7 linked regions of the Cricetulus griseus genome follow. The protein of the gene in region 1 purifies or fractionates together with the protein of each later gene. This does not show direct contact. Links are inferred from orthologs where the notes say so. Each region holds a gene or a part of one and is shown in the gene's direction. Other genes may lie near its edges.

The links.
Region 2: the proteins of Ppp1cc (region 1) and Rassf7 purify together in Homo sapiens (affinity purification with mass spectrometry; 4 studies listed by BioGRID and IntAct, counting the BioPlex papers as one, with this or other methods). This does not show direct contact. The link is inferred for Cricetulus griseus from reciprocal best matches to the Homo sapiens genes PPP1CC and RASSF7.
Region 3: the proteins of Ppp1cc (region 1) and Wbp11 purify together in Homo sapiens (affinity purification with mass spectrometry; 4 studies listed by BioGRID and IntAct, counting the BioPlex papers as one, with this or other methods). This does not show direct contact. The link is inferred for Cricetulus griseus from reciprocal best matches to the Homo sapiens genes PPP1CC and WBP11.
Region 4: the proteins of Ppp1cc (region 1) and Tanc2 purify together in Homo sapiens (affinity purification with mass spectrometry; 3 studies listed by BioGRID and IntAct, counting the BioPlex papers as one, with this or other methods). This does not show direct contact. The link is inferred for Cricetulus griseus from reciprocal best matches to the Homo sapiens genes PPP1CC and TANC2.
Region 5: the proteins of Ppp1cc (region 1) and Plcl2 purify together in Homo sapiens (affinity purification with mass spectrometry; 3 studies listed by BioGRID and IntAct, counting the BioPlex papers as one, with this or other methods). This does not show direct contact. The link is inferred for Cricetulus griseus from reciprocal best matches to the Homo sapiens genes PPP1CC and PLCL2.
Region 6: the proteins of Ppp1cc (region 1) and Rassf8 purify together in Homo sapiens (affinity purification with mass spectrometry; 3 studies listed by BioGRID and IntAct, counting the BioPlex papers as one, with this or other methods). This does not show direct contact. The link is inferred for Cricetulus griseus from reciprocal best matches to the Homo sapiens genes PPP1CC and RASSF8.
Region 7: the proteins of Ppp1cc (region 1) and Pfdn2 purify together in Homo sapiens (affinity purification with mass spectrometry; 4 studies listed by BioGRID and IntAct, with this or other methods). This does not show direct contact. The link is inferred for Cricetulus griseus from reciprocal best matches to the Homo sapiens genes PPP1CC and PFDN2.

The regions. Positions count from the first base shown.
Region 1 is NC_048597.1:102,022,847-102,026,346, forward strand, and holds part of Ppp1cc (serine/threonine-protein phosphatase PP1-gamma catalytic subunit), read left to right. Parts: intron 1-1,554; coding exon 1,555-1,659; intron 1,660-2,376; coding exon 2,377-2,600; intron 2,601-2,793; coding exon 2,794-2,928; intron 2,929-3,500. UniProt on the Homo sapiens protein: Protein phosphatase that associates with over 200 regulatory proteins to form highly specific holoenzymes which dephosphorylate hundreds of biological targets.
Region 2 is NC_048596.1:59,964,269-59,968,551, reverse strand, and holds the start of Rassf7 (ras association domain-containing protein 7), read left to right. Parts: upstream 1-1,483; 5' UTR 1,484-1,572; exon of another isoform or gene 1,573-2,331; 5' UTR 2,332-2,338; coding exon 2,339-2,462; intron 2,463-2,623; coding exon 2,624-3,336; intron 3,337-3,512; coding exon 3,513-3,641; intron 3,642-3,717; coding exon 3,718-3,912; 3' UTR 3,913-4,283. UniProt on the Homo sapiens protein: Negatively regulates stress-induced JNK activation and apoptosis by promoting MAP2K7 phosphorylation and inhibiting its ability to activate JNK.
Region 3 is NC_048601.1:12,199,008-12,203,225, forward strand, and holds the start of Wbp11 (WW domain-binding protein 11), read left to right. Parts: upstream 1-1,418; 5' UTR 1,419-1,584; intron 1,585-3,553; 5' UTR 3,554-3,610; coding exon 3,611-3,674; intron 3,675-4,187; coding exon 4,188-4,218. UniProt on the Homo sapiens protein: Activates pre-mRNA splicing. May inhibit PP1 phosphatase activity.
Region 4 is NC_048600.1:118,854,338-118,857,837, forward strand, and holds part of Tanc2 (protein TANC2), read left to right. Parts: intron 1-1,938; coding exon 1,939-2,114; intron 2,115-2,376; coding exon 2,377-2,509; intron 2,510-3,042; coding exon 3,043-3,072; intron 3,073-3,500. UniProt on the Homo sapiens protein: Scaffolding protein in the dendritic spines which acts as immobile postsynaptic posts able to recruit KIF1A-driven dense core vesicles to dendritic spines.
Region 5 is NW_023276806.1:252,582,684-252,586,183, reverse strand, and holds part of Plcl2 (inactive phospholipase C-like protein 2), read left to right. Parts: intron 1-1,338; coding exon 1,339-3,500. UniProt on the Homo sapiens protein: May play an role in the regulation of Ins(1,4,5)P3 around the endoplasmic reticulum.
Region 6 is NC_048601.1:3,906,481-3,910,413, reverse strand, and holds the start of Rassf8 (ras association domain-containing protein 8), read left to right. Parts: upstream 1-1,133; 5' UTR 1,134-1,281; intron 1,282-3,933.
Region 7 is NC_048598.1:21,547,853-21,551,965, reverse strand, and holds the start of Pfdn2 (prefoldin subunit 2), read left to right. Parts: upstream 1-1,313; 5' UTR 1,314-1,368; coding exon 1,369-1,443; intron 1,444-4,113. Other genes in the region: Nit1 (deaminated glutathione amidase), read right to left, coding at 1-193, 564-659, 872-873. UniProt on the Homo sapiens protein: Binds specifically to cytosolic chaperonin (c-CPN) and transfers target proteins to it. Binds to nascent polypeptide chain and promotes folding in an environment in which there are many competing pathways for nonnative proteins.

The DNA.
Region 1 (3,500 bases):
GAGCTGTTGGCTGCACTATCCTTGGTCTGTTTCTGCCATGGGGGTTTGGGCTAGAGTGGCAGGTGTTTAAGGGACTCTGGTGACTTAGCATTGCTCATGTGGCACACACATGCAGCGGTTTGTAGTAAAGTCATGTAGTCTGTAGAGGGTTGGCCATGTGTCCTAGAATGCTGCAGGAAGCCTGGGCACTCAGCATGGGTCTTCTCACCTCAGACACAGAACCTTAATCCAGCCCTCAGCAAAGGCAGTGAGTGACTGCCCAGACGCCAGGTTCAGCCGAGAAAGGAGAACAGGACCAGATGGATTTTGTTTGTTTGTTTGGTTTGGTTTTTCGAGACAGGGTTTCTCTGTATTGCTTTGGAGGCTGTCCTAGAACCCCTTTGTAGACCAGGCTGGCCTCGAACTCACAGAGATCCGCCTGTGCTGGGATTAAAGGTGTGCACCACCAATGCCCAACTCCAGATGGATTTTGAAGTGGGGTCAGGGCCATCTGGCCTCAGTCTGAACATTGATGTTAGTACCTTTAGCCTCTGGTAATTGGAGGTGTTGGCTGTGTTCCTTTAAGTTTCCAGAATTATCCAAGGAATCTGTGTCTCCGGGGAGAGTCCAGGCCTCTACAGGGAGGGAGTGTGGTTTGCCCAGCCTGGAAACATGGATTGGGAAAGCTGTAGTTAGGCCCTGCTGTGACTCCAAGGAGTGAGTCTAGACCTTTAGATGTCCCTGTGTCCCATTAAAAAAGGTAGAGTCTGTGACCTTAGCCAATTAAGAGAATTTGATAGTTGCTAAGACTTGTGAATGGGGTTTTTAATCATATCTCCCCCCCCCCCATTTTTCAAGACAGGGTTTCTCTGTGGCTTTGGAGGCTGTCCTGGAACTAGCTCTTGTAGACCAGGCTGGTCTCGAACTCACAGAGATCTGCCTGCCTCTGCCTCCCGAGTGCTGGGACTAAAGGCGTGCGCCACCACCACCCAGCTTTTCTTTTCTTTTTTTGGGGGGGGGTAATTCAAAACATAATTATCACACAGAATGGTGCTTAAGGGGGACCCCCTGACATTTGTGGAGGGGGCATAACCCTGTAGCCTTGATTCTCTGGGGTGGTGGGTAAGTGAGAACTAACTGATAGGATTGAACATCCCTGTGCCCACGCTAAGCTAGCTGCATGCCCAGAGTCCCTGGACCTCCTGAAGTAGGGGTTTTGGTTCTGTCTGGTTGTCTGGTTGCAGCGAGTGCCAGAGCTCAAGTCCCTAAAGGAAGAGATGATGGCACTTGAGGATGTGGCGGTAATTGTCTTCAGGATTCCCTGAAGTTCCCTCTAGGTCAAGATTAGACAAAGCAGATGAGGCTTCGAATAGAATGGGTGCTCCCACTAATTGTGGCCGACCTGAGGTGTCCCCTGGCTAGAATAATCCCTGTATGGGAATGTATTATTGTTGCCTCTGGATAAACCAGCTCCAGGTGTCCTGTACCCCAGCCCTCCTGAGGCTGCAAGGCCTCTTAATGCTATAGCATGTTTCAGTTACTTGAACAGTAGGGTGACCATCTGCATTCTTACAGGCAAAAGAAGATACAACATTAAGCTGTGGAAAACGTTCACAGACTGTTTTAACTGCTTACCGATAGCAGCCATCGTGGATGAGAAGATTTTCTGCTGTCATGGAGGTATGTGTAATTTCCACCCCTTCTAAAAGGTAGACTGTTGTGCATGCGCTAGGACTTGTCCATGGGGACATAGCAGCTGTCAGTTGGGTCAAGTGTGAGGGCAGGTTGAAAATAGGTCGTATTTTTAATATAAAATGAACCCTAGTATGTCTGCTCAGCTGTGTGTTTTCTTGGACCTTCTGACTGGGGTTCCTTCCAAAAGTGGTTTTGCTTTGCTTCATGGCTATGCTGTGTGTGAGGTATACAGAAATTGCAAGGCGATGATACTGGAAATTAAGCAGCTATCAAAACCACAGGCTTTATTAAGGCACAGTCTACTCTGTGTCCTCTGTAGATTTGGAGGTTGTGGACAGCAGAGGCTCTGGAGCTGCCTCACAGTTGAACGATGTCCCTGGGCCCAGCCATTGCATGTGGTGACTGATGGTGGCACCTGGTGTGTCCACCTTGCTGCCCTCTGTCGGGAGAGGTGTGGATTCAGGGTACTGAATGTTGACTTCACAGTGCTCTGTGTTGAGGTGACTGTCCCTGTGCCTTGCACACCAGTACAGTAAATTTTGTGCATATTTGGTGGCAGAGTTTTATTGCATTGTTTTGATCAAAACCAAGTAAACAGAAGAGCCACAGGTTTGAGTGCAGCTGTTGGCAGCAGCAGCCTCTGCAGACAGCCTCTTCTAACAATTCTGCTTCTTCAGTGTTCTTTCCTGTCTCCTTGAATAGGTTTATCACCAGATCTTCAATCTATGGAGCAGATTCGGCGAATTATGAGACCAACTGATGTACCAGATCAAGGTCTTCTTTGTGATCTTTTGTGGTCTGACCCCGATAAAGATGTCTTAGGCTGGGGTGAAAATGACAGAGGAGTGTCCTTCACATTTGGTGCAGAAGTGGTTGCAAAATTTCTCCATAAGCATGATTTGGATCTTATATGTAGAGCCCATCAGGTATTGATTTTGAATTTTACATGTACACTTAGAGCATGTGTGTGAGCAGGTTCTCCTTGTTGATTTTGGTGGGTAGGTATGGCTTGCCACACAGTGTGCCTCTGGGGAGAGCGGCAGGAGGCCAAGCTCAGTGGGGAACGAGAGCGGCACAGCTCAGCCTGCAGCCACTCACACTGACACTGTCTTTCCGCAGGTGGTTGAAGATGGGTATGAGTTTTTTGCAAAGAGGCAGTTAGTCACTCTGTTTTCTGCACCCAACTACTGTGGCGAGTTTGACAATGCAGGCGCCATGATGAGTGTGGATGAAACCCTCATGTGCTCCTTCCAGGTGAGACAGTGGCGGCTTTTCATGACTCCAGAGAAACAGCGCTCCCTGTTGTTTCCTGGGTGGACTGTTTTCTTCTCCAGTGACCTGTGTTTGTCCCATGGGAGTCCTTGCAGGCTCTTTCCAAAGGAAGGAAAAATAACAGGACCTTTCCCCAGTGTTGAATTTAGGTGTAGTTGAATTCTTTGAGAAGTGAAAGCAAATGATGTGTTGCATCATCAATTTATAGATAGTGCTTTGGGGTCTGCAGATGGCTTTTTTGGAACAGTCTATGTAGCCCTTGCTGGCCCAGAACTCCATATGTAGACCAGGCTGGCCTCTAACTTAATAGACAGACCTACCTGCCTCTGCCTCCTGAGCGCTGAGGCTAGAGGTGATATGTGCCACCACATGGGGCTCCTTTGCCAGAATATCATCTCCAGTTGTTGGGGTTGGGCTGTTTCTCACATTCAGTGTAGTAGGTCACTCAGCTGTGAATGTCAGTGTAGCCATGGAAGTCCTGAGGCAGCCCAAAGCACACACACCCCACCCCACCCCCAGACTGCAGACTCTGCCTTCCACAGAACTCCCCAAGG
Region 2 (4,283 bases), on another chromosome or scaffold:
CTCCTCTTTGTCCCTCATGACCTGAGCCTAGAGATAAGATCAGAGGTGCTAAACTTTTCCTGTAACTCTTATTCATGTCCCTCCAACCCAGGAACTCACCCCCATACTCACCTGAGGCCTAAACCCACAGAAGGCCTAGGGAGGGATGTGTTCTATATTGTTGCCATGGATTTCTGCACCTGGGGGTGGGGGAGGGGGAGGGTATCTGTTACCAGGAGCCTCCAGGAAGACAACACTCAGGGTCATGAGTGCATTCTGTGCCGGTGTGGTTTGGATATGTAAGCTAGGTTACTACCTGCCCAGCAAAGCTGAAGGGATCCAAGGAACTATACAGATCCCTGGAACCTGTCCCTAGCCAGTAGGTACTGGGGATTGGTGTCCTGCGAGTGAATTCAGCATGTATGTGTGTCTTAAGTATGTAAAAGGTTCTAGGGATCTGAGCTGGTGAGCAGGTGAGGATGGTGCTAAAGAGACTGGAGTGGCTGTACTAACCCTGGCCAATAAATGAGCCTGTGTATGACAGCCATCTACCTAACCCTTGGAAGCCTATCTTCCTGTGCCTATCTCCATAACTCTGGGCTCTTTCCAATGGTGGTTCCAATAGGGAACCCTGGAGGACATTGCTTCTCCTTCAGAACATGTGAGGTCCAGGAGAGGCTCCTTCTACCTTGTCTCGTCCACAGCCACAAGGGCATGGGGACCAGCTCCCACAGCTCTCTGTGATTGGGACAGACCACTTGGGGCTGGACTGGCTTGATTTAGCCCACCCGAGACACAGGTTAGACGTTAAAGCAGGGGCCCACTTCAGGGAGAGAAGGGCTGCTCTGGAAGGCACTGGGCCCATTGGGGGAGGGGAGAGTAAGGCGCTTCAAACAAAGACCCCAGGGTCTTTGTCTCAGGCAGGCCTCAGGGACGGTCCCTTCCCCCACCAGGGCTGCAGCGCCCATCAGGTCAGCCGGCCCCTAAACCCCACCTCCGTCGGATTGCGGGCGGGAGACACTCGTGGCCTCTCCTCCCGGTGTTCTCGGCTACAGATTGCTAAGGGAGCAGGACTGAAGAGGCGTAGCCTACAGGGCTGATGAAGGGAGGGCGAATGTTGCGCCCGGGGACAAGTCAGAGTTGCAGGGTTCCAGTCAGGAGCCCTCTCGGTGGGCGGAGACCAGTCACACTGAAAATCTGTTGAGGAAGTCCGTTCTGTAGCTGGGGACACACCTCACCTGGGCCAACCAGCCCAGAGCGAACGCAGCTGCAGACGCGCTTCCGTGTTGATCATCAGCAGTGAGCATCCCATGCGCCCCGGTCCTGCCCCTGCCCACTCAGGGCCCCGCCTACACCTGGATGGCTCCGGGGCGGGACGGATTAACGAGCCAATGGGGCGTGGTGGGAGAAAGGCCGCCAATGGCAGTGGGCATGGGGCGGGAGGCACGCGCCTCCGATCTAATGGGGTACCGTGGGGCGGGGCGCGCGGACCGGGAGCCAATGAGGCCGTGAGGTTGGGCGCGCCGCGGCGCTGGGACAGCAGGTTGAGGCGGCGCTGGAGCGCCTAAGTCCGGGAGGCCGGCGGGCGCCCAGGTGAGTTGTGCCGGCTTCTCGAGCTTCCTGAGCCCTGGGCGCGGCACCAGGGAGCTGTCTCCGACAGAGGAGAAGCTGATCTGGGCGAAGGGAAGCGCGGTGGCTGTGCTGCACCTGCGTCTGCCGGCTGCGGAGTGGGACGTCTGGATCCCGCGCGGCCGGGATCAGCCGTGAGGCGGGCTGTGCCCCCAGCGGGGCGGGACCACCGGAGCCCAGAGCGCTGACTAGACGGGAGGGACTGCGGAGGCGGACCGGGGACTGGCGGGGGGCTGCTCAGATCTGGGGTCGGTTGGGAGATGGAGGTCTGTTTGGGTCTTAACTCTCAGCTCCTCCTGGCCCAAGGGGTTCCTTCCCTAGGGGGCGTTCCCATGACTGTGGACGGCGTCGTATTTGCGTTTGCTCGGTGTTAGGTGCCTGGGGATGGCCGCTCGCATGAAAAGGGTGGTGGCCTTTGAGCCAGGTGACCGGGGGACAGGAAAACCTGGACCTGGTTAATGATTCGCCCTGTTCCTGGAGTGGGGTGGGTGGGGCAAGAGGAGGCTGGTGCAGGAGGGGACGCCTCAAAATGCTCAAGAGGGCCAAACTAGTTCCCCAGCCACTCCAGGAATGTGTGGCCTGCGGGTGGGGCTGGGCACAGGAGGGCAGGGCTGAAGGGACACAGTCCTGAGCCAGTTGTTGTGGCAAGCTAAGAGAAGAGGAAGGCCAGGCCATGATGGAGGCAGGCCTGTCCTGATCTTAGGGTCTCTGTCCTTCCCACAGGACAGGGATGGTCTTGGAGCTTGTGGTCATGGAGCTGAAGGTGTGGGTGGATGGCATCCAGCGGGTGGTCTGTGGGGTCTCAGAACAGACCACCTGCCAAGAAGTGGTCATCGCGCTAGCCCAAGCTATAGGTGAGTTCCCTGGGGACAGAGAAGCTAAACCGGTGGGGCCGTAGTCCAGCCCCATCTTCCCTTCCAAGGAGGGTGGGGTTGACTCCACCCTTTTGCTCTAGTCCTCAAGCCAAGTGGATAGAGAGGGGAGATATAGGCTGACCCTGTCTTTCCCCCCACAGGCCAGACAGGCCGCTTTGTTCTTGTGCAGCGCCTTAGGGAGAAGGAGCGGCAGCTGCTGCCACAGGAGTGTCCAGTGGGAGCCCAAGCCACCTGTGGACAGTTTGCCAGTGATGTCCAGTTTGTCCTGAGGCGGACAGGGCCCAGCCTGTCTGGAAGGCCCTCCTCAGACAACTGTCCACCCCCAGAACGATGCCCAGTTCGGGCCAGCCTGCCCCCCAAACCATGGGCAGCACCAGGCCGTGAGCCACACAAAGCACTGACCTTCAACCCAGGATGTCCCAAACTGGTCCCCAGCTCCTCAATCCCTGAGTCTACAACCCTGGTAGGACCCACACCAGACTGCTTTGCAGACCTGCAGGGCCTAGAACTCAGGATACAAAGGAATGCTGAGGAGCTGGGCCATGAGGCCTTCTGGGAGCAGGAGCTCCGACGAGAACAAGCCAGGGAGCGTGAGGGACAGGCACGCCTGCAAGCGCTGAGTGCAGCTACTGCTGAGCATGCTGCCCGGCTGGAGGCCCTAGATGCCCAAGCCTGTGCCCTGGAGGCAGAGCTTCGGCTGGCTGCTGAGGCCCCTGGCCCTCCTTCAGCTACAGCATCTGCTACTGAGCGTCTACGCCAGGACCTGGCCATCCAGGAGCGGCATAGTATGGAGATGCAAGGCACCTTGGCCCTGGTGAGCCGGGCTCTGGAGGCTGCTGAGCATGCTCTGCAGGTGAGCCCAGGAGACCTACGCCCCTGTCAACTCCCTGCCTGCTACACAGCCAGTTTGTCAGCACTCCACCTGCTGCACAGGCACTTTGGGGTTTGATATAGAATCAGACCAGGGAGCATGTTGTCTGTGGGAAAGAAGGTCATCGCCTTGTTCCTGAAGGTCCTGTGTGCCCCCAGGCTCAGGCTCAGGAACTGGAGGAGCTGAACAGGGAACTCCGTCAGTGCAACCTGCAACAGTTCATCCAGCAGACAGGTGCTGCAGTGCCACCACCTCCACAGCTGGACAGAACCATCCCGAGCCCACAGGTCAGAGTAGTTCTGGGAAGAGGTGATGGTCAGGCGGGGGCCACCCTAGTTCTCAACTGACCTGTTTTCTCCACAGGACCTTCCAACCAGAGATGAGCCCCTCCAGGGAGTCCCCCAGAGCCATATTCTAGTGTCCAGCCTGAGTCCAGAGGGTATGTTTCTCTCCCTACCCCTATCCCCAATCCATGGGAAGGGACCAGCTCTGGTATCAGCCCATTCAGCCTGTGTCTTTCTCACAGTTCCCCCCATGAGGCAGAGCTCCTGGAGGTAGCACTTCCTGCTCAAGTAGGGAACACTGAATACAGATGAGCCAGCACAGCTGGGATGAGCCACCTGGACAATGGGCGAGCATGATCACGGAATTCTTTCCCTAAAGTGGGAAAAGCTATGATGTCCTGGGGTTTCTGCTTCAGGGGGCAGGAGTGCTAGTGGACATGTTGTCCTAGTCTTTTTCAAGTCTCCCAAGTCCCCTGAAGAAGCAATGGGCAAAGCTCAGAACTTACCAGGCCCCAAAGGCCACTACTTACTGGAGGAGAGAGAAGTGTGGACAGTACATTCATCCTGTGGAGGGGGGTGTGCGCCTGCTATTGACTCCACTGAATATATGATGCCTTCTTGCCCTGACAAACCTCAATAAACTAC
Region 3 (4,218 bases), on another chromosome or scaffold:
TGCTGAGAATGTCCTTGTTATAGTTGCTTTGTTTTTTTGAGTACAAAAAAAAAGTTGTTGAAATAAAATACTCAGTATCTGTCAAAAATCTTACAAGTAGATGAAAAATTTTAACTAGCCACATGACTCTTTCAAATGTACTTTTTTTTTTTTTTTGTAATCGCTGCTTTTATGAATTAGTTTCAACTTCTCACAACTTGGGTCACCTTCAGGGTTTTTCACTATTATTATTATTACTACCTGATTTGTAAGTTTTGAACCATTAGATCTTGCTATTGCTGACACTCACAGAGTAATCAAATTTAAGAAGACACCAGGGATTTTTAATACGACACCCAGGTGTGTGATGGCTCATGCCCGTTAACTTCATCAGTCAAGACAACGAGGCAGAAGGATGGGGAGATGGAGGTCTACTGATGGAATAAGCAAGTCGGGGATTCCTAAGGGGCCTGTCTCAAAATTTAACTTTTTCTTTGGGCCGCAACAAAGCTTAGACTAAGTATGCGACTGATGCCACAGCGTCCGGGGCCACAACGTAAAACATTCTACCCATGGGCAGACGCCTCTACCAATAGCTGTGAAATACCTGATGTCAAAAAATCCCTCTTATAACTTTTGTCTGCGCAGGGTCCTCAGATGAAGCTGAAAAACCACCACGCGCGCGCTTTACGGAGATCTCATAGCCAGTGTCTCTCCTTGAAGGGGGAAAGAGAGGGTGGGGAGGCTCTTAAGGGTCGGGGTGTGAAGGGAGAGGAAGGACGCAGACGACGGGGAAATCATTCCGTGGGTGCAGTGACATCACAAAGGACGAGCAGCCCCGGAGCGGGAGCGTCACGTGCCGCCTTCTCCGGGGACATCTGCGGCGCGCACCCGGTTTCTCTCCCAGGACATTTTTGTTTCCCGTGTGTAGATGACAAATGAGTGACTCTCGCTAGGAAATGACTTTTGTGCTCGGCGCGGCACAGGCTGGGTTTCCGGGAGCGCCGGGCGCTTTAAACTCGGCGCCCGTGGCGTCCATCCGGGAACTTGTCTCCCCGCGGAGGCTTTCCCGAAGGACAGCACCCAGTCACACCCCAGCACACCGCGGGGGACAGAAACCAAGCAACACGCGGCTCCGCCCGGGCGACGCGCCGCTACCTGACGTCTGCGCAGAACGGAAACCGCGTCAGAATTCCGAGCGGGGTAAAGCGATCGGCCAATCAACGGGCACCTTCCCTCTTTGGTTCTCATTGGGCGACACCAGTGTCAATCTACGACGCTTCGGAGTGAGGCGGGAGGGGGCGGGGGCGGGGGAGGGGGTGGCGTTCTTGGCCGACAGACAGCCAATCGGACGTGGGATCGGAGCGGAAGCAACTCTGGCCCCGACGACGCTGTGTCCTCTCGATAGTCCCCGGGCCTGGGCAACGCGGTGAGAGCGTCGGCCGCGGGTGCCGGAAGTGACGCGAGGATGGCGGAGGGGCGCGAGGTTTCAAGATGGCGGTGGCTGGGTGGTTGACCGAGAGGCAGAGGTGAAGGCCCCGCCGCCCAAAGCACGCCGGCACCGCCCGCTACCCGGCCTGGCCGACCCGGGAGCCCCGCAGTGGCGTAAGTGTGCGCGGTCGCGACGCTGCGGCTCCCGCCACGGCCTCCGGGGCCCGCGCAGCCGCTTCAGACCCCAGCGCCGGGGGCCGCGCTCTTCCCCCCGCCGGGCCGGGCCGGGGTCGCGGGAGCCGCGGGCGGGAGGGCTCCGGGGCCGGGGTGCTGCGGCGGCCGACGGGCGCTCGGCCGGGCGCGGCCCGCCCGCTGCGTTGGTCCGCTTCCCGTTGGCGGCGGCCGGCCGCTTGGCTTGACGTGCGGCCGCTCGAGTCGGTATCAACCGTCGCCATGGTTTCGGCGGTTGCGGCGGCGGCGGCCTGCGGGCGAGCGGGCCAGCGGGCGGGCGAGCGGCCCCGGCTCCTGCGCTGTCGGGGGCCCGCGGCCCCGTCCTCTCCCGGGCGCCCCTGCGCTGACGAGAGTCGCGCTTGTAGACCAAGACCGTGCGGTCTCGGAAAAATTCTCAGCGGCTCGCGGCTGCCGTGTTTTCAGTTGTGGGAGGGGGCAAAGAAAAATTAAAAAAAAGGTCAAAAGGTGAACCCGAATATATAAAATAGAAAGCTATAGAAGTCTGTATCCGTGCCTGCTTGCTTGCTTTCTTCCTTCCTTCCTTTCTTCCTTTCTTCTAGTTCTCTATAATCAATGCCCTTCTTTTCCCTTCCTCTCCCCATCATCCTGCCCCTCCTCTTTTCGGATAACGAAACGTTTTTATAGTGAAATAGTCTCCGGGCAGTTGATCCCTTGGTGAGAGAAGCATTAACTAGAAAGAAAAACAAAACAAAACAAACAGAAAAAAAACCCTACGAAGTCTTCACAGAGGAGCCAAGGGAATTACAATTGTGGGAGTCTGTTAAAGTTGTCTCGGGATCTACCTATTCCCTACCTTCAAAGGTGTCTTTTTTAAGAAAGAAAGTCGACTGGTTGGGTGTGCAAAGGGGGAATACCTGTAGCCAAATGTCACATCGTTTCAACGGCTAACATTTCTTTACTGTATTATTGGAAAGGTTAAATTTTAAAGTTAACATTCATCCATTTTGAATAGAAGAACTGATACTAATACAAGCTTTGAAATTATTTTCCTACAGTGACCTGCCACTTTTAGTTACCTTAAAATAAATCAAGAGTCATATGTGTTAGTAAGAAAAGTATGTATGTTAATATTAAGATTGGGAAGTTCTATTCATTTTTTTTTTGCTTGAAAGTCATGAGTCATATTTGACTTGGTATTGAGTCTAAATTAAGTATGTTTAAATTAATTACCTTTTACCATCTGTGGGGTTTTGAATGAACAGTGCCTATGCCAAGGAGAAAAGTAGAGAACATATATTTGTCTTTGAGCCTAGAGTCATTATCACTACTTCTCTTTGACTTCACCTTATATATAAAGGGGGAAGGGTGTAGGAAATGAACTGTTGACTTCTTACACTCCAGGTTTGTATCACATTATTAAAACATTTTCTAGTTGGGTTTTGTTTTGAGATAGTCTTTTATGGCCCAGTCCACATTCCAAGTGCAAACTCCTAGTTGAATTTTTTTTCAGTTGACAGTGCTACATAATCCATAGCAGAGTGTTAAATGTGGAGAGTTCATGTGTCTCGTTGCCTTGACTGTACAGATGTTAGCTTTTCTGTGATGAAGAAAGGTAAAGCCATATTATATGTTCAAAATTAAAGAGCAAGTTCTTTTTTTGTTTTGTTTTGTTTTTTGTTTGTTTGTTTTTTTTCGAGACAAGGTTTCTCTGTGTAGCTTTGGAGCCTATCCTGGCCTTTGCTCTGGAAACCAAGCTGGCTTCGAACTCACAGAGATCCACCTGCCTCTGCCTCTCAAGTGCTGGGATTAAAGGCATGTGCCACCAACGTCCGGCAAAGAACAAGTTCTTACAAAATTAATAATCAGAGGGGTATTTCCAGAAATTGATGGGAATTCTAAAAAGGAAGACATGTTAAACATACAGGAAAACTGAGTTCTTTTCTTTTTCCAGGTTTCGTTTTTTTGTTTTGTTTCTTTAATGAAGAAGTAAATCATATAAATTGTCAACATGGGACGGAGATCAACATCCTCCACCAAGAGTGGGAAGTTTATGAACCCCACAGACCAAGCTCGTAAGTGCCATTAGTGTGAAATGATGACGTTGAAGAGTTAAAAACTGCAAAGAATATTTCCCCGAGGCTTAAGCAAGTTCAGCATTGGTAGAAGGGAGTTGTGTGAAGTCATGTTGAATTCTTAAAATTAACTCACATGACTAAAATGTTGAGAGTGTACATCAGTTAAAACCATGTTCTTGTCAAGCTTTGTTGGCTTGCAGGATAAAATTGGATTGTTTTTCTTTTTGTGTTGGAATTTTTAAACAAATGAGTTTTAAGCGCTAGTTTGGTATTTGAGAATCTCTTTTTCTCATTGGTTCAGTTATTTCTGTGAAAAGAAACATTTTAGCATCTGGAGTTCTTAGGGTTAGAAGTGCTGCAGTTGTGCAGTTGTCTGCAGGTCGAAGCCACCGATGCCAGTGCATATCCAGGTGTTGCATAGGGGAGCCTCAGAAGAAAAAAGTGTGTGCTGTCTTGTGGTAATGTTAATGTTGAAGATTTGAGGTATATGGTCTCTTTCCCTCTCTTTAGGAAAGGAAGCCCGGAAAAGAGAATTGAAGAA
Region 4 (3,500 bases), on another chromosome or scaffold:
CCAAACTTCAATTTTTTTAATGTATACCCAGTAAATATTCATCTATTTTAGAGGCTGATTTGCTGCTGGTGGTAGTTGTGGTGGTGTGGGGGGGGGGGGGGTCTCACTATGTAGCCCTGGAATGTGTTTTGTAGACCAAGCTAGCCTCAGACTCACACAGATCCACCTGCCTCTTCCTGCCAAGTGTTGGAATTTAAAGGTGTATACAGGGGCTGGAGAGATGGCAAAGAGGTTAAGAGCACCCGCTGCTCTTCCAGAGGTCCTAAGTTCAATTCCCAGCAACCACATGGTGGCTCACAACCATCCATTATGAGAGCTGGTACCCTCTTCTGGTGTGCAGATATACATGGAAGCAGAGTGCTGTATACATAATAAATAAAATCTTCTAAAAAAATAAAGGAGTATACCAACACACCAGGTGAATCTGGGTATCAATTTGTCAGCCTGCACAGGTAATATTTTTCTTGAATCCAAAGGAGGTAAAAAGAAGACTTGCTAGCAATGAGACCCTCTTTGGAGAATTGGGATATTACTACTAAGTTATAATAAATTCCTTGTGGCATTTTTCAACATACTCCCATCCTTGGTAAATGGGAAACAAGTTAAAGGAGGTTCCCTCTATGAGGCTAGTGTATTTTTCCCTGCAGGTGAACAATGTTAAAGCATCCCAGCTCCTGCTGACTGCTCTAAGATCAGCCCCTATGCAGTAGTGGTGTCCCAAGCCGTCATAGTAAGAAATGGCTCATCATTGGTGGCACTACAGCACCATCTAGTGGGAGCCTGTGGATTTGCATCAAGCAGGGGGTAGTGAGGAGATTTGAAATCATGAATGACATCATTCCAGTTAGCCTACACTGTTAATAAACCAGACTTAAATACATATAATTATCTATACATATATGCACGTTCCTTCAAGGGAAACCAGCCTCTGAAGAACTGTGCCCAGACCTGAACAGCCAAGGATCAGGAAGGCTAGGCTTCTCCTAAGAGATTTGCTGTGGCTTCTTCAGCTCTGTCCCTTCAAGGAAGATTTGTTTCCACAGCCACAGACTCAAAGGTGTAAATCAAGAGTTGCTCTTCCAGGGTACAATGTAACTCTTGCCAAGTTACCAAACAAGTCTGACTTCATGTTACCTATCTTTATTATTGCTGGGGGGGGGGGCAGCACTCAGAGGGAGTACTCAGAGGGAGTAGACCTAGATTCTTAAGATGTGACATGAAGCAATATTCCGGAACAAACTATATCCAACAGAAAAGGCAGGGCCTCTTCAGCACTGATGACCCTTAGGTAACTACCATATCTGCCACATGCCAGTAGACACTCATTAGGCATAGACTCCAGAGGTTTGTTCTGCCTTACCCAGGGTCTTTGAACTGGTTCCTTTTATATTTTCTTTGGGTATTTTATTTGGTTTTTTGTTTGTTTTTTTCACTGAAGTGAATTTTCACTAAGTCAACAAAAATTATTTAGCCTACATTATGTGTAGAATACTATAGAATAGGAACATTTACGTGTTTTTAATTTTTTTTAAGTAAGTTGTAATTTGGGGCTTGGAAATAAAGTTCAGCTGGCAGAGTGTTTGCCTAGCATACACAAAGCTCTAGGTTCAATCCCCAGTACCACACAAACTGGGCTGGCACACACCTGTAATCACAGCACTCAGGAGATGAAGATGTAGCTCAGACAGATCTTGAGCTCACTCTGTAGCCCAAACTAGCCTCAAACTCATGATCTTCCTGCTTGCTCCTCCCTACTTCTGGGATTACTGGTGTGTGTCATCATGGCCAGCCAGGGTCAATCTCAAAATAGAAAAATCTAGAAGTAAAAGCTATATATGTCTTTCACAGCATATATACCTTATGTATCAGCATTCCTTTCTGCTACAGATGTTTGTGTCTTCAGTCCTGTTAACACGGGACTCCCATTGGTTCTTATAGGTGCCTCTATTGCCCTAATGGACAAAGAAGGGTTGACAGCCCTTAGCTGGGCTTGTTTGAAGGGCCATCTCTCAGTAGTACGTTCTCTGGTGGATAATGGAGCTGCTACAGATCATGCTGACAAGAATGGCCGCACCCCACTGGACCTGGCAGCTTTCTATGGCGATGCTGAGGTGGTGAGTACCTTTAAACAGACCCCAGGAGAGTAAGGACAGGGGATGTTATTCATCAGTAATACTATCTAGGACCTAATGTGAAGTACTATTTCGATGATTCCAGCATAGATTCTCCAAATCTATAATTGGTGGAGGACAGAAATATACAAACCATTACTGAAAACCTGAAGTGATTTTTATACTCTGGTTCAGACAGGCAGTTTGAAAAGGGGCAAGCTGTATCCATTGTGCCTGTTAACAGTGCTGCTTGTTCCTTGCTTAGGTCCAGTTCCTGGTGGATCATGGGGCCATGATTGAGCATGTTGACTACAGTGGGATGCGTCCTTTGGATAGGGCAGTGGGTTGCAGGAACACTTCCGTTGTAGTCACTCTACTGAAGAAAGGAGCCAAAATAGGTAAGAGAAGGAAAGATGGTAGTGACCATCTGTGCCCAGGGGCCAGTGGTCTGGCTGCCCTGGGTGTTTGGTGTAAATTTATATAGTTTTCCCTCTGCCCTGATCCAATTACCTTCCAAGTGAACAAAGGCTACTGGCCCAGAGAGAGTACCATAGTCTGTAGAAACCTATGTCGAGAGTCACATGACTCTCTCCCCTGCCCTTTGTAGCCTTAGCCAGGAGGCTGCACTGAGCTTATGCACATCTTGGTGCTGCCTCTGCTCTAGTCCCACCCTGAGAGCATCCTGGCTCGCTGCAGTGCTGTAAGCCTTTGCTTTTCCTTGCTCTGTATGTGCTTCAAACTCTCAAGCCCCTGCTGCTGCCACCCCAGCTGCTCCCCCCTCCCCCACAGACTGTAGACAAGGGCTGGCTGATGTGCTGGCTTTTTGCTGCCTGCCTCTCACTGCTGCTTTTTCCTTCTTCTTTTTTTTTTTTCACCTTCATCCATTTTTTTTTCCTCTCCTACAACTTTTTGTTTTCTCCTTTCTTTGAAGGTTGTCAGACGTTACCGAGTCGCCCACGAGGTATATTCCCCCGCTGTCAGCATCAGGCGTGGTCTGATGGCTTGGTCAGCTTTGCCTTCTCCTCTTTGATTTAGCCTGCATGAGTTCCCTACACCTCTAATCTTTTAATTTACTTCACCTTAAAAGAAGATTTTTTTAATGACTGTTGCAGAGAATAACTTGAACTTTTGATAACTAACCCTAAAAAGCTTAGTTGGTAAATAATTCAGTCCTCAGTTAACTAATCAATTTAACTTTATTCTTTTCTTCCATGAGTAAAGTAGTCCTTACTAATGCTTGTTTGTTTCATATCTATTGACACTTGAGTTGTGCCCCAGGTTCCAAGTGAATCCCAGGGAGTCCTATTTGGTACTTAGCTCTAAGGGAGCCTTTAGAGTCTTTATTGGGGTTTCCCTTCTACAGAGTGCACACTTCAAAATTAAGTCAAA
Region 5 (3,500 bases), on another chromosome or scaffold:
GGCAGGATATTAGGAAGCCACAAAGAGGATGTTTGGCAGGGTAAAGAATTCATGAGTAAGAAATCCAACAAGGGGTTGCCTAGGTGACTGAGTCTGTAGGTAGAGGACTGGGTCAAGTTGTTTCTTTTCTTTAGCTGAGGTTCTAAAGAGCTGCTGTGTAAAGGTTAACTATGTGGCCTGCCAAGTATGGCCTAGGATCTCATGCCAAGCCCTGAGATTTGGCTTCCAACACAGGGAGAGCAAAAAGGATATGTGATAGGTAGGGTTTTAGTTGGGGGGGGGGCGAGTGGTAGAAGAGAAGGGAACTGGGATTGGCATGTAAAACAATCTTATTTCTAATTCAAATAAAAAAAATCTGCAAAATAAATAAATAAATCCATCAAAATTTTAAAAAATGAAAGAAATGGGTGCTCCCTGAAGCTTTCTGTGGGTAGCACTATAACCCATATTTATATTGGAGGCTCCTGGGCAGTAGCATGATGACGCACAGCAGCAGGTTTTAATAACTCCAACTCTATGGTTTTAGATGTGTCCCAGCTGTAATCTGTAAGCATGCCCAACATGACTAACAGTAATCTGTGTGTACCTGAAGTTTACAGAACCATGATTAGCCTATTGTGATACTGTAAAGGGCCAGGAATCCATGTCTATCCATTTAACATACACTTTGTGGGTTCATGCTTAGCCACTCCTGGCCTGGTCATGTATAGAGTTGAAAGCTAAAATGAGTGAACCCATGTGGTTAGAAAATGTCTTTCAGGCTTTGGTCTCTGCACCCAGCCTTGGGATGCTGCCTAAATACAGATCCCTGCCCCCATTCCTAGAGATCTGATTCCAAAGACTCAGGAATCTGCATTTTACCAAGTAAGCTGGATAATTTGGGGGCTTGTAGTGCTAAGCCCATAGGAAACACTGATGCAGGTGTGTGTCCGCATGGGTACAAGAGCTCTGTAGGTGTAAAGGCCCCACACATACATGGGTGCTGTGGTTGGCTCAATGTTCTTCTCTTGATGCCGTGGAATTCTTGGTATTTTGTGTGCAAAGTAGTCCTGTATTTTCTGAAAATTGTGTAGCCAGGTCTGTAAACAGTCTCTGCTGTCTGTGACTGAGATGCCTTGACAAGCATGCATACAGTTATTAGTAGTATTTTCTTGCCTGTTGGCATTAGACCTAAGTCTCCAAGGCCTCTTCTGAGCTTTAAAGATGAACATCGTCATTCATCACAAGAGTCAGAGCAGGATATCATAGTACATGTTGTTTTCAGGGAGTTCAAATTTAATTCCATCTGACCACAAACACCTGTGTTTCTGTTATGCTAACACACTTTTCTCCCCCCAGGATGGCACGAAACAGAAGAGAGAGCGGAAGAAGACGGTGTCATTCAGCAGCATGCCCACAGAGAAGAAGATCAGCAGCGCTAGTGACTGCATCAACTCAATGGTTGAAGGTTCGGAACTCAAAAAGGTTCGTTCCAACTCCAGGATTTATCATCGGTATTTTTTGCTGGATGCCGACATGCAAAGCCTGAGGTGGGAGCCATCTAAGAAGGATTCTGAGAAAGCCAAGATTGATATCAAATCTATCAAAGAAGTGAGAACGGGGAAAAACACAGATATATTCCGCAGCAATGGCATTTCTGAGCAGATATCTGAGGATTGTGCATTTTCAGTCATATATGGAGAGAATTATGAATCACTTGATTTGGTTGCCAATTCTGCAGATGTTGCGAACATCTGGGTGACAGGACTCCGATACCTGATTTCTTATGGGAAACATACACTCGATATGTTAGAAAGTAGCCAGGACAACATGAGGACTTCTTGGGTTTCACAAATGTTTAGTGAAATTGATGTAGATGACCTTGGACATATAACTCTGTGTAATGCTGTGCAATGTATCAGAAACCTCAACCCTGGTTTAAAAACAAGCAGAATTGAGCTTAAGTTCAAAGAATTGCACAAATCAAAGGATAAAGCTGGCACTGAAGTCACAAAAGAAGAATTTATTGAGGTTTTTCATGAACTTTGTACTAGACCTGAAATTTACTTCCTTTTAGTTCAGTTTTCAAGCAATAAAGAATTCCTTGATACCAAGGACCTTATGATGTTTCTTGAGGCAGAACAGGGTGTAGCACATATAAATGAGGAGATAAGCCTTGAAATTATTCACAAATATGAGCCATCCAAAGAAGGTCAGGAGAAGGGGTGCCTCTCCATAGATGGGTTCACTAATTACCTGATGTCACCTGACTGTTACATATTTGACCCAGAGCATAAGAAGGTCTGTCAGGATATGAAACAGCCGCTGTCTCATTACTTTATAAACTCCTCTCATAACACATATTTGATAGAGGACCAGTTCCGGGGCCCCTCTGACATCACAGGGTACATCCGCGCCCTTAAGATGGGCTGCAGGAGTGTAGAATTAGATGTGTGGGATGGGCCAGATAATGAGCCTGTGATTTACACGGGCCATACCATGACCTCCCAGATAGTCTTCCGCAGTGTCATCGATATTATTAACAAGTATGCGTTCTTTGCATCTGAGTATCCGCTCATCTTATGTTTAGAAAATCACTGTTCTATTAAACAACAGAAAGTGATGGTTCAGCACATGAAGAAAATTTTAGGAGACAAGCTGTATACAACATCACCCAACATGGAAGAGTCGTATCTTCCATCCCCAGACGTCCTGAAAGGGAAAATACTAATCAAAGCAAAGAAGCTGTCTTCAAATTGCTCCGGAGTGGAAGGGGATGTGACTGATGAAGATGAAGGGGCAGAGATGTCTCAGAGGATGGGGAAGGAGATTGTGGAACAGCCCAACCAGCTGCCTGTGAAGCGCTTTCAGCTTTGCAAAGAACTGTCTGAGCTGGTCAGCATCTGTAAGTCAGTCCAGTTCAAGGAATTTCAGGTGTCGTTTCAGGTGCAGAAGTACTGGGAAGTGTGTTCCTTTAATGAAGTGCTTGCTAGCAAATATGCCAATGAGAACCCCGGGGACTTTGTAAATTACAATAAGCGTTTTCTTGCCCGGGTCTTTCCTAGTCCAATGAGAATTGACTCTAGTAACATGAACCCTCAAGATTTTTGGAAATGTGGGTGTCAAATTGTAGCCATGAACTTTCAGACTCCAGGACTGATGATGGACCTGAACATTGGATGGTTTCGGCAGAATGGAAACTGTGGCTATGTTCTCCGACCAGCCATCATGAGGGAGGAAGTCTCCTTCTTCAGTGCCAACACAAAGGACTCTGTCCCTGGAGTTTCACCTCAGTTGCTTCACATCAAAATAATCAGTGGCCAGAATTTTCCCAAGCCCAAAGGATCAGGTGCCAAAGGTGATGTCGTGGATCCTTATGTCTATGTGGAAATCCACGGAATCCCTGCTGACTGTGCAGAGCAAAGGACAAAAACTGTGAACCAGAATGGAGATGCACCCATTTTTGATGAAAGCTTTGAATTTCAAATCAACCTCCCTGAACTGGCCATGGTGCGCTTCGT
Region 6 (3,933 bases), on another chromosome or scaffold:
AACGCGCCCTTGGAGAATGGGTTCTTTTCTCATTGGGGCCCCGTAGCCCGTAGCCTAGGCTGGCCTGGAACCTGTGACCGTCCCTTGCCTGGGCCTTTCCAGTGGGCCCCGCCCTCCCTACACCTCTGTGACATTGGATGTTTCCGCGGGCTGTCAGGGAGGACAGACACCCCATCACAGCTGCTCCCCAGGGAGGGCCGCTCCAGCCAGTCCCGGGAGAGCGCCGGCCGTTCCTTCCGCCTCTCCTGTCCCCAGGCCCAGCGGATCCCTCCCGCGGGCGGCCCCGAAGCCAGAAGCCAGCGAGGGACCGCAGGCAAGGCTACCTCAGAAGGCTCAGGCCCTCAGGCCCCAGCGCCTCCCACAATGCCTCGCTGCGCAGTCCCCTACGGTGTCCGCGGGCGGGGGAGGCGGCTGTAACCCGAGCGGGTGAGGGGCTAACCCTGCTGCTGGCCCGCAGCCCGCGACCCAGAGAAGGGGCGGGGACACCGGCCCTCGGCCCGCCTCCCCGGCCCTCGGCCCGCCCTTCCTGGTCCTCGGCCCCGCCTCCCAGGCCTTTGTCCCGCCCCCAGATCTTCCACCACGCCTCCCAGATCGTCTGCCCCGCCCCTAGACCCTCCGTTCCGTCTCCCTGACCTCTCGCCCCGCCTCCCAGGCCCTCCGCCCCGCCCCTAGACCCTCCGTCCCGCCTCCCAGGCCCTCCGCCCGCCCCTAGACCCTCCGCCCCGCTTCCCAGGCCCCCCGCCTCGCCTCCCAGGCCCCCCCGCCCTAGAACCTCCGTTCCGCCTTCCAGGCCCTCCGCCCCGCCCCTAGACCCTCCGGCCCCGCCTCCCTGGCCATCGGCCCCGCCTCCAGGCCCTCCGCCCCGCCCCCAGGCCCTCCGCCCCGCCTCCTAGGCCTCGCCCCGCCCCTAGGCCCTCGGCCTGCCCTCCGGGCCCGGAGCGGCCTCCCCGGCCCGTGCTCGCCGCCCTCATCCCGCCCCTCTGCGGGGCTCGGCGGGCCCCCGTGGTCCCGCCCTCCCTTCCTCCTCTGCGCCGCTGTGCACCGCCTCCCGCCCCGGCCAGGCCGGCGTGCGCCCTCCCTCGCGTCTCCTCCGCCCGCCGGCTCAGCCCTCCGCGCGCGCCGCCCTGCGGCCCGGGCCTCCTCAGCCCCGGCCCCGCCGCTCGCTCTCCGCCGCCGGGTCGCCGCGGGGCCGCCTGGGCCGCCGCCGCCGCTCAGCCAGGGCCGGGCCGGGCCTCCGCCGCGGGCCGTGCACCCGGGCGGCGGGACGGGCTGCGACGCGCAGTAAGTACAACTTTCCCGGCCCGCGCCCCCGCGGCCCCGCTGTCACCCCGCGCCCGCGCCCCCAAGTTGGCGCTGCCCGCCGGGGTCGCCTCTCCCCGGTGTCCTTGGCGAGCGAGTTTAGAGGCCACTTTTGCGGGGAAGGGAAATGCATGGCCGGCCCTTGGCCGTCCCCTGAGCTCTCAGACGGGAATCGGATGCTCGCCCGGAGGGAGAGCCTTCCCTCTGGAAGGGGAAAGTGGCGGTTGGCAGGCTTCTGCATTTTGTCCGAACCGGGGCCGCCTGGCCTCGTCGCGCAGCCTCCCTCCCTCCGTCCCGGGTGGCCAGCCCCTCCGGGGAACCGAGCCGCCCGCCGGGAGGGGGCTTGCAAAGTTCGCCGCGTCCTGTACCCCGCAAACTCGCCCAGGGCCCGGCCCGGGGAGGCTCAACTTGAGGGGTCGTGGGCTTGGCGTGCGAGGCCGCTGCGGGCGGCCCGGCGGTGGGCGGCGGAGACCGGCTTGCGGCTGGGGTTGCGTCGTCTCTGCACCGCCGAGCCGCCCGCCCGCCCGCCCCGGGTTGCCGGACCACTACTTGGGACATAATTGCAGGTCAGCGATGGTCCTAATCTTCGGAGGTCTAGGAGGAAATATGCGGGGCGCAACACACTTGAGCGTGTGAGGTCAGCCCTGCCAACACATCAAAGCCTGGCGTGAAAAGAAAAAAAAAAAAAAACTCTCCAGCCCGCTGACAGCAGGGACGAACACTTAGGGACTTACCGTAGATTGGGGCGCAGAGATTTTTCATGACATCTGTTTTGTTCCAGGGAAGCATTTAAAACCTAAGAGACCTCTGCTCAGTTGTAGGCTGTATGTGTGTGTGTAGGTGTGTGTGAGGGGGTGTTAAGGTAGTTTTTCTTTTTTAGAAGTCTTTCATCTGTGGTTGCCAGGGGTTTGGATCGTGCTATGGAGGCTAAGAACCGGCAGGTTTCCTGGTGTGTGCTTTTTGTTTTTTGTTTTTTTTAAACCTATCCTTTGCTTGAGGCTGTCCCTAATGTCTGTCAGTTCGCTGCAGGGGGAGGTGCTGGTGAACACAGGAATCAGGGCTCCGGACAAAACTGCACGCTCAGTTTGGGAAGTGGTTTATGCTATATCTTTTTTAGTGGTCATATGAGTGGTTTTTCTGATCTTACTTAAATCCACGGGGAACTTCCCCCAAACCTCAAAGTTACACACGACCGGTACTCCATTTAAGAAGACTGGATGCAGTTTGATAATTCTTCTACCTGTGGGTCTGAAGGGTCAGAGGCAACACAGCGTAATTTGCAATGAAGGTGATTAAATCTTTTCAACAATCAGTCATTTGCCCCTCCCCCTAAGCGTTTTTAGATGGTACTTTCCGAACTAGATTCAATTGGCCATAATGGATGAGATCTTTGTAGGTGATCAAGCCCCTATTCTGGGCTTCTGGTGCTTGGGGGGACGGTAGAGAGTCCCTGTAGGGAGCCAAGCCATGGGACTGTGCACCTAGGAAAGGTTTTCAGTTAGTGTCAGTGTCCTGGAGAGAAACACAGTTACAGAGGTGTCCAAGTCATTTCAGTGGTCACAGTTCCCAGATTGTGCAGGTTTTAGAGATATTTGGAAATTGCAGATTTAAAATCCTATAGGATCGTGGTGTCATTTTTCTTTGCATCTTCTTTGCCTTTTCAATTTTTTTTTTTTTAAGCTTGTGACTCTTAAATTTGGAATCCTTGGTGCTTGGTTTTCATGGCCCTTTGTATTCAGAGGGGTGTATTAGTGCTTGATCTGAATGCCTGGCATTCTGAGAAATGATTAATTCTTCAGAGTATCCTGTTTCTTACTGAGTCTTTTGCTGTTGTATATAATAACTTGGGAGTAAAATTGTTGTTTACTGCAGGATATCATTGTTCTTTTTCCTTGTAGTTAATTTTTGGCAGATGGTTTTGTCAATTTATAAAACGTTGAGAAGGAGCTGGGCGTTGGTGGCGCACGCCTTTAATTCCAGCACTTGAGAGACAGAGGCAGGCGGATCTCTGTGAGTTCGAGGCCAGCCTGGTCTCCAGAGCGAGTGCCAAGATAGGCTCCAAAGCTACACAGAGAAACCCTGTCTCGAAAAACCAAAAAAACAAAAAAACAAAAAAACAAAAAACCAAAACAAAAAAACATTGAGGAGACCCAGATAACTTGCAAGTATTCAAAACTTGGGAGATTTCCTTCTAGGTGGAGGTGAGGTGGGGCTGCCTCATGGAGATGAAACATTAGGAAATGTAAATAATGAGCCAGCTACTCACTTTCCTTGGAGGTTACTTTGTTCCAGTCCTAAGTAGGTTTCGGAATTCCGGAATTCCCGTTCCCTAGTGTTCTGTGGACTGGAAGAGATACCTTTTGTAGCAGCTAGCCAGGCTTGTCAGGGATTTAAGGATGTGCCCTGCTCCTCTGGTTCTGTGATCTGTATTCACAGCCTTTAAAACGCGTTACCACCGCTAACAGGAAAGCTACGAGCAGAGCACCTCCCAAGTGCCGGGCACATCTCTGTCAACAGTGGCAGCATCTCCCATGTCCCCAGAGCTTACTTGGTGGCCGTCCATTGGTCCATTGTAGTGTTTAAACACAACCCCCTACCCTCCTACCCCCACTTCCTTCCTTGAGGGCAGTAACA
Region 7 (4,113 bases), on another chromosome or scaffold:
GGCAGGATTTCGTGCAATGAAGTCAAATGCCTCAGGCAGAAAAGCCAGGCAAGCACCCAGTCTGGCCGCCTCTAGAACCAGCTCAGCACATGTTTTAAAGTTCTCTTGCTTGTTTGGTGTTGATGTTACCTGGCACACAGCCACCAGGGGCAGCTCCCAGGAAGTTGAGGAGGACACCTCCATAGCTCTGGGCCTGTGAATAGCACGGGCAGTGTTCTCAGATTTGCTAGCACGGAGAAACCCAGAGGCTCAAGTGGGATGGGGCCACAGACCTAGATGTTTTTCTTTTTTGAGACAGGGTGTTTTGTAGCCCAGCCAGGTCTTGTTATGTAGCTGAGGATGACCTTAAACTGCTGCCTGCTTCCCAAGTGCTGAGATTACAGGTGTGTCCCACCATCCCTAGTGACTTCTTTCCATTCTTTCAGAGCATAATAACCCCAGAGCTACTGGTGTTCACTTATTAAATGTTTGGTGGGTGGCAGACAACTTTGTCTCCCCACACTGCAGTTATAAACACGGATTGAGCGGCAATGTGCCAGGCAGAGAACAAGAAAATATGTTACCTGGGCTGAGTACAAAGTACCGAGATTCGAGGCAATCTGTTTCCGGTACACAAAAGGGACAGGAGTTGGCGAGGAGGCCTGGTGATGAAGCCCAGCCTGAAGAGGGTGAAAAATCAGGACACCTAACCTTCCTTCAAGTAGTATGTTTCTAGAATTCTCTGTCATTTCCAGGCCTGGCCAGTAATCCCCTCCCCCAAGGCTTCAAAAACATCCCCCCACACGATTAGCTGTGGAAAGAGGTCGTAAAAGGGAAACATGGGAGAGGAGACTGATCCGAGCCTCAATACCTCAACTTCCAGTGATCTCACATTAAAACTGAAGCCCCTTTCCTCTGCCAAACGTTTCCGCGGTTCAAGTCATCTCATGGAACCTTCCTCGCTTCCCCAATTCTCTCTTCTCGGCTGTGCCACCTGCACAGCTTTATAGGCTCAACGCGTATCTCTCCCCTTACAGCAGTATCTCGAAAGGCAAGTTCACTCTCCCTAGATCGCCACCATCTCGAGGTGGGCAGGGGGCTCCGGACCAGATCCCAACCCTGGACCCCGCCCTCTGATTAGCGCGCCCTTCCCCGCCTCTCCCTGGGGCAAGAATCTCTGTTGCACAAGTTAAAGCACCGTAGGTGGAATTCACCGCAGCGGGCAGGGTTGGGGAGTAGGTCCTACATGAAGCCACCGCCAAAACCATTCGCAGGGTCGACCAGAGGAGCTTCCTGGAGCCAGAAGCGCAGGGGCAAGTGGGTGGTAACTACCAGACCGGATGTGACGCAGTGGGAGTGCGCAGGCCGGAAAGCTCGCAGGTGGCGAAGATGGCGGACAGCAGCGGTCGTGTGAGCAAGAGCAGCGGGAGCAGCACCGGGAAGGGGGCGGTGTCGGCCGAACAGGTGAGCATCCGCGAGCGCCGAGGGCAGCTCGGCCGGTGTCGAGTTCGTGCAGGAAACGGGGTCTGTGGCTTGTACCGGCCCTCAGCCCTTTCCACGTTCTCCGTGTCGCACTCGCGGAGGGAGGCGATCACGACCCCTGCTAGGGCATGCGGAGGTGGGTGTGCAGAGGAGAGCCACGTCCGCAGGCTGCAGCGGGAGCCCAGTGGGAAAGCCCTGAGCTGCGGGAGCTGGGAGGGTGTCCAGGGCCCCAAGGTGATGGGGTCGTCGTTTCCCCCGTCTCCGAGCTACTGGGAGGCGGGCCTGCTTCGGCGTTGCATCTAGTAACGAACCCCAGAGGTTATTAGTCGGGGAATTGTTTAGTCTGTGACTCTAAAACCGCGCTCACCATCGCCCACGCGCTGCAAAACCACGTGACTCAGACTCGACCGCTTCAGTCTTCTGTAACTATTTTTTTTCTGGTTTTTCGGGACAGGGTTTCTCTGTAGCTTTGGAGCCTATCCTGGCACTCGCTCTGGAGACCAGTCTGGCCTCGAACTCACAGAGATCCGCCTGCCTCTGCCTCCCGAGTGCTGGGATTAAAGGTGTGAGCCACCAACGCCCGGCCTTCTGTAACTATTTTAACTAAGGAGTCTTTAGTAGATTGGCTTTGTGGTTTAGTTTGGTTTGTTTGATGGTTGGTTGGCCTTGGGGTCGGGGGTGGAAGTTGCGACGGGGTCGCTCTATGCAGTCTTGACTTTTCTGAAATACACAGTGTAGACCAGGCTGGCCTGGAACTCAAGAGATCCGCTTGTCCCTGCTCCTGCCTCTCGAATTCTGAGATTAATAGCCTGTGTCACTAAGCCGGGCCAGGATTGTTTGGTCTTTTGAGACATGATCTCACTAAGTAGCCCAGGTTGGCCTCGAACTCGCTCACTGTGTTCTCGGAGTGGAGATTGACTTTTTAGAAGAGACCGGAAACCCTTTTCTAATCTAAGTTTGCCCCCACCCCAATACATCGGGATATGTCTGACTAATCAGAAAGCCCTTTGTGGTATGAGAACCGTGCCTTGTTAATCGTGGGACTAGTATTTAATCGATAGTAGAAGGAAAAAAAAACCACACAATTGAAATGAAAAGAATTGAGGCTAGGGATATAGCTTAGTGGGCCAAATGGGAGAGCCCTGAAGTGTAGGACATGGGAGGGTGTTAATTAATTGTTGAACACTCAGTACAGTCAGGTAAAGGTAGCCGAATAAAGAGTTTAAAACCTGCCCTATCAAAGAGCATATCTATTGGGACAAAAGGGGGATTTTCATAATTCTACTTCGAGGCAGAAAATAAGTGTTCTAAGAGAAGTAAAATGCATTGAAATTTGGAGGTAGCCTCCAATATAGTGGCTAATACTTTTATTGAGGGTCTGTCTTGTGTTAGGCTCTGCTGAACACAGAGAAACTGGTAAATGAAACAGACCTTATCTTCAACTTGGTCAAAGATCCCTAGAAATACAAGACAGCCGAGTGTGATGGCTCATACCTGTAATCCGGCTGGATTACCATGTCCATTCCAGGCTAAGCCTGGGCTACAGAGTGAAACAGTTGTAAAAACAAACATGACAGAAAGACAAATAAAACAATGAGAGTTTTAAAAAAAATTATTTTATGGGCTTGGTGATGGTGGTGCACCATTTTGTCTTAGCACTTGGGAGGCAGAGGCAGGAGGATCTCTTGAGTTCAAGGCCAGCTTGGTCTGCAGAGCTAGTTTAGTTTCAGGACAGCCAAGACTATACAGAGAAATCCTGTTTTGAAGAAAACAAACAAACAAACAAATAAATGCTGGTAAAGGCCCCTTGAGATGGCTTTTGCAGAGGCCCAAGTTTGATTCCCAGCACCCATCCATGTTGCTTGTCTCACAATTCCCCATCACCTTGGCTCAAGGGAATCCAACGCCCTGTTCTGGCCTCCAAGGCAACTCCACTTGAGTGCACATGCTATCACACAGACACACAAACATGCACATAATCTAAACAGTTTTTTTGTTTGTTTTTGTTATTTTGTTTCAGGACATAGTTTCTTTGTGTAGCCCTGGCTGTCCTGGAACTAGCTCTGTAGACCAGTCCCTGTATTTGAGAGAGATGTAGAGGCAAGAGAATTAGGAGTTCAAGTTCATCTACTCAAAGTAAATTTGAGTGTGGGTTACATGAGATTCTGTCTCAAAAAGATAAGAAAAATCCCTGTCACTTGACAGTCAAAGTTCAATGTGTGTTTTGGAGAGGACAAACCCTACTAAAACATAGCTTTATACCCCTTAGTCCCAAAACTTGTGCCCTTACAATGCAAAATACGATTATTCTGCCCCAATAGTCCCCAGAGTCTTAATTTGTTCCAGTACTAACTCAAGATTCCAGGGTCGTTTGTGCAGGGAAAAGTAGCTCATCTCCTTCCAGCATGTAATGCAGAGGCAGGCAAAGAGAGAAGTAGGCCAGAAAGGTAGGTGGGGGTGGGTGGGTGGGTGGGTGGGTGTGTGTGTGTGTGTGTGTGTGTGTGTGTAAAACAAGCCTTAAGTCTGATTCCAAGAGAGCAGGCATTGTCTTACAATTCTATAACAATTTTTCTCCATGTGCCATTTGGAAACCCTGGGGCAGGGATTGGGCCTCTAAAATGCTGGGCAGCTCCACATCTATGGGTTTGTTGG